Linked DNA regions of Nothobranchius furzeri. The protein of the gene in region 2 interacts with the protein of the main gene of each other region in a biochemical or structural test. Links are inferred from orthologs where the notes say so. Each region holds a gene or a part of one and is shown on either strand. Other genes may lie near its edges.

The links.
Region 1: the proteins of erbin (region 2) and abcc4 interact in a test that uses a peptide from one of them, tested with the Homo sapiens proteins (2 studies listed by BioGRID and IntAct). The link is inferred for Nothobranchius furzeri from reciprocal best matches to the Homo sapiens genes ERBIN and ABCC4.

Annotation. Positions count from the first base shown.
Region 1 is NC_091754.1:57,241,958-57,246,274, forward strand, and holds the start of abcc4 (ATP-binding cassette sub-family C member 4), read left to right. Parts: upstream 1-1,482; 5' UTR 1,483-1,635; coding exon 1,636-1,709; intron 1,710-2,749; coding exon 2,750-2,860; intron 2,861-4,317. UniProt on the Homo sapiens protein: ATP-dependent transporter of the ATP-binding cassette (ABC) family that actively extrudes physiological compounds and xenobiotics from cells.
Region 2 is NC_091746.1:65,311,303-65,315,645, forward strand, and holds the start of erbin (erbin), read right to left. Parts: upstream 2,933-4,343; 5' UTR 2,704-2,932; intron 1-2,703. UniProt on the Homo sapiens protein: Acts as an adapter for the receptor ERBB2, in epithelia. By binding the unphosphorylated 'Tyr-1248' of receptor ERBB2, it may contribute to stabilize this unphosphorylated state.

The DNA.
Region 1 (4,317 bases), on a different chromosome or scaffold from region 2:
AAAAGGCAAATTCTGATCCATATCGTGCCTTTTTTACTCTGCTGCCATTCTGACTGCCCCACATCAAAATTATGCGTTAAAATACTCTTTTAAACATTAATTAAATGTGTTATTTTCATTTAAAACATTCAAACACAACATAATGCAATAAGACAATTATCCCACAACCACTGACAGTTTCACAAACTAAGTAGAATTGGTTTAGATAAATTTCATGATCAGGATCTGTCAGTAAATTTGTCTAAAATTGTTCCAGTCCTCTGTTTATATGATTAACTCTTTAAAGGGGCCAGTGTCTAATAGATACTTCCACTCACGTCATAAATGCTGTCAGTATGCCTTTTTACAAACTCTTAGAGTTACAGTATTTCACCCAAACAATCATCAGAAATCAAACTTGTCATGGTTTGCGCCATGGCACCATTCCACCAATCAGTGCGGGGCTATAACGCGCTAAATATTGGTGTCTGCAGAGCCAGAAAACTTCTCCTCTCGTGTTTATGGTCAGAACGCTAAAACTAACAATGTTCATGAAACTCTCACGTCACAAGGTTGACTAGTTGTGCTAAATAAGGATATATGTGTTGTAAATGTTAAACCCAATGAAATTGGTGAAATCATCGAATAAAAATCAAATCTGCCATATTTGAACATACGCCCTGAACAAGTAAAAGAAGTTATGAATATTTTTAGATAAAATTGTTGTTTTTTTAGACAAAATCTTCATAGTAACAGGAACAATTATGATATTGAATATATTTGCAGTTTTAAACTAAGATTTCTCTTGGAAATGGAGGACAGGTATTGTGCCAACCAATCTCACCATCAGTGATGATGATGATGAACAGGAGGAAGATGACAGATCCTGAAATATAAAATATTCTAAAATAATATAATAATCTATATTTGATTAGAAATAGTATCTATTGTTCAATAACGTTTCTAAAATATTCTACAGTTATCAGGTTTCATTAAAAAATTCTATAGTAATTCTGATATAATGTGTATTAGTAAAGAGTCATATGTTTTAAAATTAGTTAGATTATTCTAAAGTGTCTTATAATTATCTATATTATTCAAAAATAAAAACTTGTTCATGTTTTTTATTTTTGGGATTTCTTATTCTAGAACAGGACCAACGTCCATATTTAATCACCGTCTGAATTTCTGCTTGAAAATAAGTATTTTTGAAAATTGTAACAACAGAAGTGTACTTTTATTGAAAAATACAATTTTATTGAAAATTTAAAAGTTTAAATTCTTCAATGGGTGCCCAATAAAGGATTAATAGATAATTAATTAGATCGCATGGAGCACATTCTACACCCGTAAAATCGCAGGCCAATCGCGTGAGAGCATTGTAAACACTCAGCCAATAGAATAGTTCCTCTTATTTTATTAGCCAATCATATTTGCTTAGGGCGGGACCTGGAAGTGTTTCTATTTCCTTTTTTTTTATTTCTGCATGTAATAACGGCTTGCGTGTCTTGACGTGTTATGTAATCCACCGTACAGTAGCAGGACCCTCCTGTAACATGTGCGTACTACAAAGTTGCGCCACTTAGCCGGAGGCAGCTTTTAAAGGAGGAGAAAGTTAAGGGAGGTGGAGTACTGTGTGGAAGCCGGCCGGCAACCATGGAGAAAGTCAGCAGAGATGCGAAGACCAACCCGGCAGCGACGGCGAACCTCCTGTCGAAGGTGTTTTTCTGGTAGGTCAAATAGTACCCGGCGTGCGCGAGACGCTGCTAGCGTAGCGGGGAGTTCAAACGTGTCTCTGCTCACTTTTACTGTGTTTACATACTTTTGTCATAAGTAAAAGTATTCAAACGGAAGTGCTGCTGTGACAAAGCATGGGCTCAGCAGCAGTTCGATTTAAAACGTCTTTTAGCGGAGTTTATTCTCACTTTTGTTAGTTTTTTGACCCGTTTTGTTTTTATTATTACCTGTTAGCTTAGTGGCACCAGCTACAGGACACCTGGCCGTCGTGTCATCACACGCGCCAGCTCCTGAAACCGGAAAACCGTAAGCGCCAGGTGTTTTGAATTTAGACGATACTGCGTTTGATTCGGTTCTGTTCCAGGGGTCTCGGTTATTTACGTTTCCCAGGGAGAAAAGTGACGTTGTGCACAAGCTAAACACTCCCAAAAAGACTTAAATGATCTGAGGCCGTGACGCAGAAGTTAAATGTGACTCAAAAGGATTACACCAAGATATAACAATGAAAAAATCAAAGGAGTACAAATGAAAATCCTGCTAAAATATGCGCGTGAGGCCTCAGATTAAGTGTGATTGAGTTATTAAGGGTGACATAAATCTGTGTAAGTGGAAAACTGAGTTTACAGTATTTATTTATACTCATAAATGTTCAAATCTGTTGTTTTCGGGGATGCTGATTGGTCAGAAACAGCAAGTCTAAAAGTTTGTCTTGAATTAAAACTAGATTTTCTTGCAGAGATGTTGTTTGGATACTAATTGAGCCCGGTCCACTTGCTTACTACTATATTTACTGTTTATTCCAATGAGCTGAAAATGGCAGAAAAACTTGAATACCATAAAGATTTTTGTGTAAAACGTTGGTTCAAACTGTCCTCTCGAGGTTCATGGTGAATGTGTCAGGTGTCATTAGGCTCCTTAATGAAAAAGGGAAGTGTGTGGGATCAGACTAGAGCTGGATCATAACTGGTGACTTCCTGAATGGGATGAACTGGATCGCTCTGGCCCCCTGACTGGTCTGTTCTTCTCCTGTCAGGTGGCTGAATCCTCTCTTTAGAACGGGCTACAAACGCAGGCTGGAGGAGGATGACATGTTCGAGGTGCTCTCGGAGGACAAGTCGGAGTACGTGGGACAGGAGTTACAGAGGTGAGCGTGCTGCTTTATCTCCTAAATGTTGGACAGGTTACAGATTTGTTCTTATTGGTGATAAATGGAAGACAAGTGTGACCAGATCGATAAGCTAACAGATAGTGACTGTGGATTCCTGCTGCCTTGAAACAGCGCGGCGGTAGCAGTCTACTCCACGGTTCTCATGGGGATGGACATTTCCCATTTTCCAAACAGCGGCTTTTATGATCCCTTTAATCTGAGGCTAACAGGATACGCGTGGTTTAATTGTACTCGTTGTTTTCTTAAAACTGTGACTGAGCTTTTAGGAACTGACAGCTGATTGGAACCAGATCTGTTAGAAGCAAGCTGGACGAACGGTGATGATCGTCGTTAGTTTAGTTGAACTTTGTTGGTAAACAAACAAAAGCGAGTCTCTTCTCTCCCGTGCTGATAGATCCACACCTTGGTTCCAGTCTGCACCGCTACCCTTCTGCCCTCTCTGGTCTGAGGAGGCCGTTTGTTCTTTATTTTGAAATGTAAATTTCTCAGTGATTTAACGGGTTTTAGTGCTGCTCTGAAGGCAGCTTTCTTCTTTCTCACTTCCTTTTAAAGGATAAGGAGCCAGTAGCTGTGTAACTACTGTCTCGCAGATTTTTTTATCTCCAACAACACAAGCGGCTCTGTTTATTTCTGAGGAACTCCCAGAGGAAAAACCAGAACCATAAACGATGCACAACACCACACATGTTGATCTTTTTAACTCTTATCTGGCAGTTTGGATCCAGCCTTTTAAGGAGACTAATCAGGACATCACAACTCTGATCGCTTGTTTGTAAATAAATATCTAACTGGTGCTTGAGCTCACACTAACGGAGGAGTCGGGCCAGCAGAGACGTCGCTTTAAAGTGAGCCAGGACACTTCATCTTTATTTGACAGATTAGAGAAGGTACAGGTGTATCAGTGAGGGCTGCATTCCACTTCTGTAGCTGTGCATGCTGGTAAAACGACCAGCAGAGCTCCCTGTACTTGGAATGCAGCCCTTGTTGCCATGGCAAGGGGAAAGAAATGTAAAAGAGTTAATTTACTTCTAATTAAGGACCCGTAAGATGTAAGATTCCATAGTAAATATGAAATCAACCTTACGGACAGTTGGGTTATTTTAACCAGAAGATTGGAACTTTTGATTGCAGGGATTATGTAACACTTGTATTAAGTGAGAGACGAGAGAGTCACCTTTAAAACGTTTAAGAAGATTTATTTCTAAACAATTTTAAAGAATTTTAAACAAGACTAACTCTAAGTGATGAATGGATCTGGTGTGAATGAGACGTGAGATGAATGGTGTATGTGTGAGTGATGTAATCAGAACTCTCATATCTGGAGAAGCAAGTCTGAATGATGTTGTGATGTTTTGCTTTTAGCTATGATCAGAGTTTGATCGGAGTTTCATAAACACGAGACGCCATATTGTCGCTCTACACATACCATTAGG
Region 2 (4,343 bases):
GGAAATCTCCTTGGAGGGTCACAGACGCCAAGTTGCGAACCCCTTTACAGGTCCTTCTCAAAAAATTAGCATATCGTGATGAAGTTCATTATTTTCTGTAATGTACTGATAAACATTAGACTTTCATATATATTAGATTCATTACACACAACTGAAGTAGTTCAAGCCTTTTATTGTTTCTAATATTGATGATTTTGGCATACAGCTCATGAAAACCCAAAATTCCTATCTCAAAAAATTAGCATATTTCATCCGACCAATAAAAGAAAAGTGTTTTTAATACAAAAAAAAGTCAACCTTGACATAATTATGTTCAGTTATGCACTCACTACTTGGTCGGGAATCCTTTTGCAGAAATGACTGCTTCAGTGCGGCGTGGCATGGAGGCAATCAGCCTGTGGCACTGCTGAGGTGTTCTGGAGGCCCAGGATGCTTCGATAGCGGCATTAAGCTCATCCAGAGTGTTGGGTCTTGCGTCTCTCAACTTCCTCTTCACAATATCCCGCAGATTCTCTATGGGGTTCAGGTCAGGAGAGTTGGCAGGCCAATTGAGCACAGTAGTACCATGGTCAGTAAACCATTTACCAGTGGTGTTGGCACTGTGAGCAGGTGCCAGGTGGTGCTGAAAAATGAAATCTTCATCTCCTTAAAGCTTTTCAGCAGATGGAAGCATGAAGTAGCTAGCTGCATTGACCCTGCCCTTGATAAAACACAGTGGACCAACACCAGCAGCTGACATTACACCCCAGACCATCACTGATTGTGGGAACTTGACACTGGACTTCAGGCATTTTGGCATTTCCCTCTGCCCAGTCTTCCTCCAGACTCTGGCACCTTGATTTCCGAATGACATGTAACATTTGCTTTCATCCGAAAATAGTACTTTGGACCACTGAGCAACAGACCAGTGCTGCTTCTCTGTAGCCCAGGTCAGGCGCTTCTGCCGCTGTTTCTGGTTCAAAAGTGGCTTGACCTGGGGAATGCGGCACCTGTATTCCATTTCCTGCACATGCCTGTACACGGTGGCTCTGGATGTTTCTACTCCAGACTCAGTCCACTGCTTCCGCAGGTCCCCCAAGATCTGAAATCGGTCCTTCTCCACAATCTTCCTCAGGGTCCGGTCACCTCTTCTTGTTGTGCAGCATTTTCTGCCACACTTTTTCCTTCCCAGAGACTTCCCAATGAGGTGCCTTGATACTGCACTCTGGGAACAGCCTATTCGTTCAGAAATTTCTTTCTGTGTCTTACCCTCTTGCTTGAGGGTGTCAATGATGGCCTTCTGGACAGCAGTCAGGTCGGCAGTCTTACCCATGATTGTGGTTTTGAGTAATGAACCAGGCTGGGAGTTTTTAAAAGCCTCGGGAATCTTTTGCAGGTGTTAGAGTTAATTAGTTGATTCAGATGATTAGGTTAATAGCTCGTTTAGAGAACCTTTTCATGATATGCTAATTTTTTTTAGATAGGAATTTTGGGTTTTCATGAGCTGTATGCCAAAATCATCAATTTTAGAAACAATAAAAGGCTTCAACTACTTCAGTTGTGTGTAATGAATCTAATACATATGAAAGTCTAATGTTTATCAGTACATTACAGAAAATAACAAACTTCATCACAATATGCTAATTTTTTGAGAAGGGCCTGTACAAACATTTCTAAATCAATGTTCTAATCTAAACATTAATCCATCTAATTATGCTGGACAGAACACAATCAATGTTATTGACTTCAGTAACATGCAATGTGATCTGGAGTAAATACTGCCAATTTATTTACTGTTTTGATACATTTAATTTTCCCACTGGAACTTACTACTTTATCTGAGTTTGACTCATCAGGTCAAAGATTTTATCCCTTAACAAGTTGCAGCTGATAGCTCCATGTCTTTGTTTACATTAGAGTAAGGATGGTCTGTGAAGCCAAATCTGTTAACAAGCTGATAAGCTAGGCATCAAATGAAAAGCTTCAGTTTAAAGTTGTCTGTAAGAATCATCTGATTCACACGCAGACAGGTCCTGCATCTTCTGACTACACGTCCCTTCTCAACAGCAGTCAGGTGTGTGGTATTTTTATTTTTAAAACACACAAATGTGGGTCACAATCTGCTACACACTCTCAGCGTTTACATCTGAAAGCATCAGACTGAAACAAAAAGAGGGGAACATTTACCTCAGAAAGCCTGACCCATTTAAAATCAAGATAAAAAAATCGATTAATCTCTATTTTTCTAAGTAATCTGATTAGTAACGTGATGAAAGTAAAAACACGTACAGCACGACGACTGTAATCCCCCTCCACAAACACTTTCGCTACAAGCTATTGGAATAATGACTGTTGGTGTGGGTGACATTAAACATGGTGACAGCTTTCAACACAGCGTTGAAACTGATGGATGGATGGCTGACTGACAGCAAACAGCTACAAAGCAAAGCAGCAGCCGAGCACAGATGTGGATCTGATAAAAACACAGCCAAAAGCTGATACATAAGCCATAACCCAGTGTCATTAAGCTACAAATGAGCTCTAAATTATCACCAAACATCAGCATTTTTATGAGAACTTAACGGAACAGTTTTGTAGTTTAAAATGATTAAAATAAGAAGTCAAACTCAAGTCGGACAGCATCGGCGTTGGACCAGAACGCTTCGGCGCAGCTAGCACCAACGTTAGCATTTTGCGAGAACTTGCGCAAACAAAGACACTTACCTCAATTCACGTCGACTCCGTGGGGCATGAACTGATGTCCAGTTAGTGGAGAAAAATGTGAAGTTATACAAATAATGTTTTCAGGACGAAAGCATTTGCTATCATCACAGAGTCGGTTTGTTGGTTAAAATGGGAGTTTGGCTAGGTTAGCCGTTAGCTAAGGCTGCCCACTTAAAGAGCTGCTCGAAGGTGGCCCAGTGCGCACATTTCTCCCCCGCAAGCCCTCAAGTTCCTTAACGTCTCCAGCTGTTTCCAAACACTTCAAAGTCTTAGCTTCCCAGTGACTCGGGACAGCCAAAAAATCGGAGCAAAAATCCTCCGTATCCGATCCGAACAATATCACGGAACATTAAAGAAGATCCAAAATGTCCACGAGAATTTATCAAGGAAATACAAAAGGCAAAAACGACCTCGGAACGAGGGAAAGCCTTTCCTCTGAAGTCTGTCGCGCCCAGATGTTTTCAGTCATGTTTCTTTCCGTGTTTAATCAGTGACAAAAAAAGGCGCAGCTGTGGTGGAAGTGAGCTACACGGAGGCTGGAGGAGCTCAGAAGGGGAGATTTCTTCTCTGCGACCTCTACACGCAAAAGGCAGCTCATCAGAAAGTCGCTCTCCCACCATCGCTCAGAGCCCCTCGACGATGCTTCGCTCTCTCTCCCAGACGGCGTCAGCGATTGGCCCCGACTGTCCACGGCCGCCCGGAACGGAGGTTACCCTTTAAAACGCGTCTCTATGCAGAATTAAAACAGCAGCTCAACAAATTGAGCAGTAGAAAGATATTTAAAGTTCTCATTTACATATAAACACTTTTTGCCTGCAACATTTGGCCCAATGTTACCTTAGAGCGCCCCCTGCTGTAAGTACATTTTATTGCAAGGAATTAAACCCTTTGCATGACTTGACTTTGTCACATTTCTCTAATGTGAACTGTAATTTCTCTGGCAATAATAATAATAATAATAAAAGTTAACTCATTGACCAGTTTTTATTATCCAGTACCAGTGCAAATGGTGAAACAAATTCTTGAAGGGGCGATGTGCATACGTATCTTCTACTTACCAGTTCAAAAACGACTACAACTCAGAAACAACCATCTAAAGAGCAAGTAACCCCTTACCAGAGTCTTACTCCACTCCAACTTCCTGTTTGAAAAATGCAACAAATGCAGTTGGCTGGCAGACCGAGAAGGCAGAACCGCTAACAAGTACACACAGGCTCACAACATTGTGACATCATATGGTACTAGCTGATGTCATAGTATACATCTTATGGGCCATTCCCATCTGTACCGGGTCGGCCCAGGCCGGGTAGCGTAGTTTTTACCTACAGAGGGTGCAACAGACAGATATAGGCAGAATATTTAAATTTCAACAAAGATCCAATCCAATCCAATCCTGGTGGTAAATCCTGGTGGTAAATCGGTGGTCCACACTTTTATCACCTCAAGGCTGGATTACTCAAACTCCTGCTTATACGGCATCAGTAAAGCAGCTCTTTCTAGACTTCAGCTGGTCCAGAATTCAGCAGCTAGGTTGCTGACTGGAGCTGACAGAAGACAACACATTTCTCCAATTCTGAAATCTCTCCACTGGTTGCCCGTGCAGTTCAGGATAAACTTCAAAATTATGCTTCTCACTTACA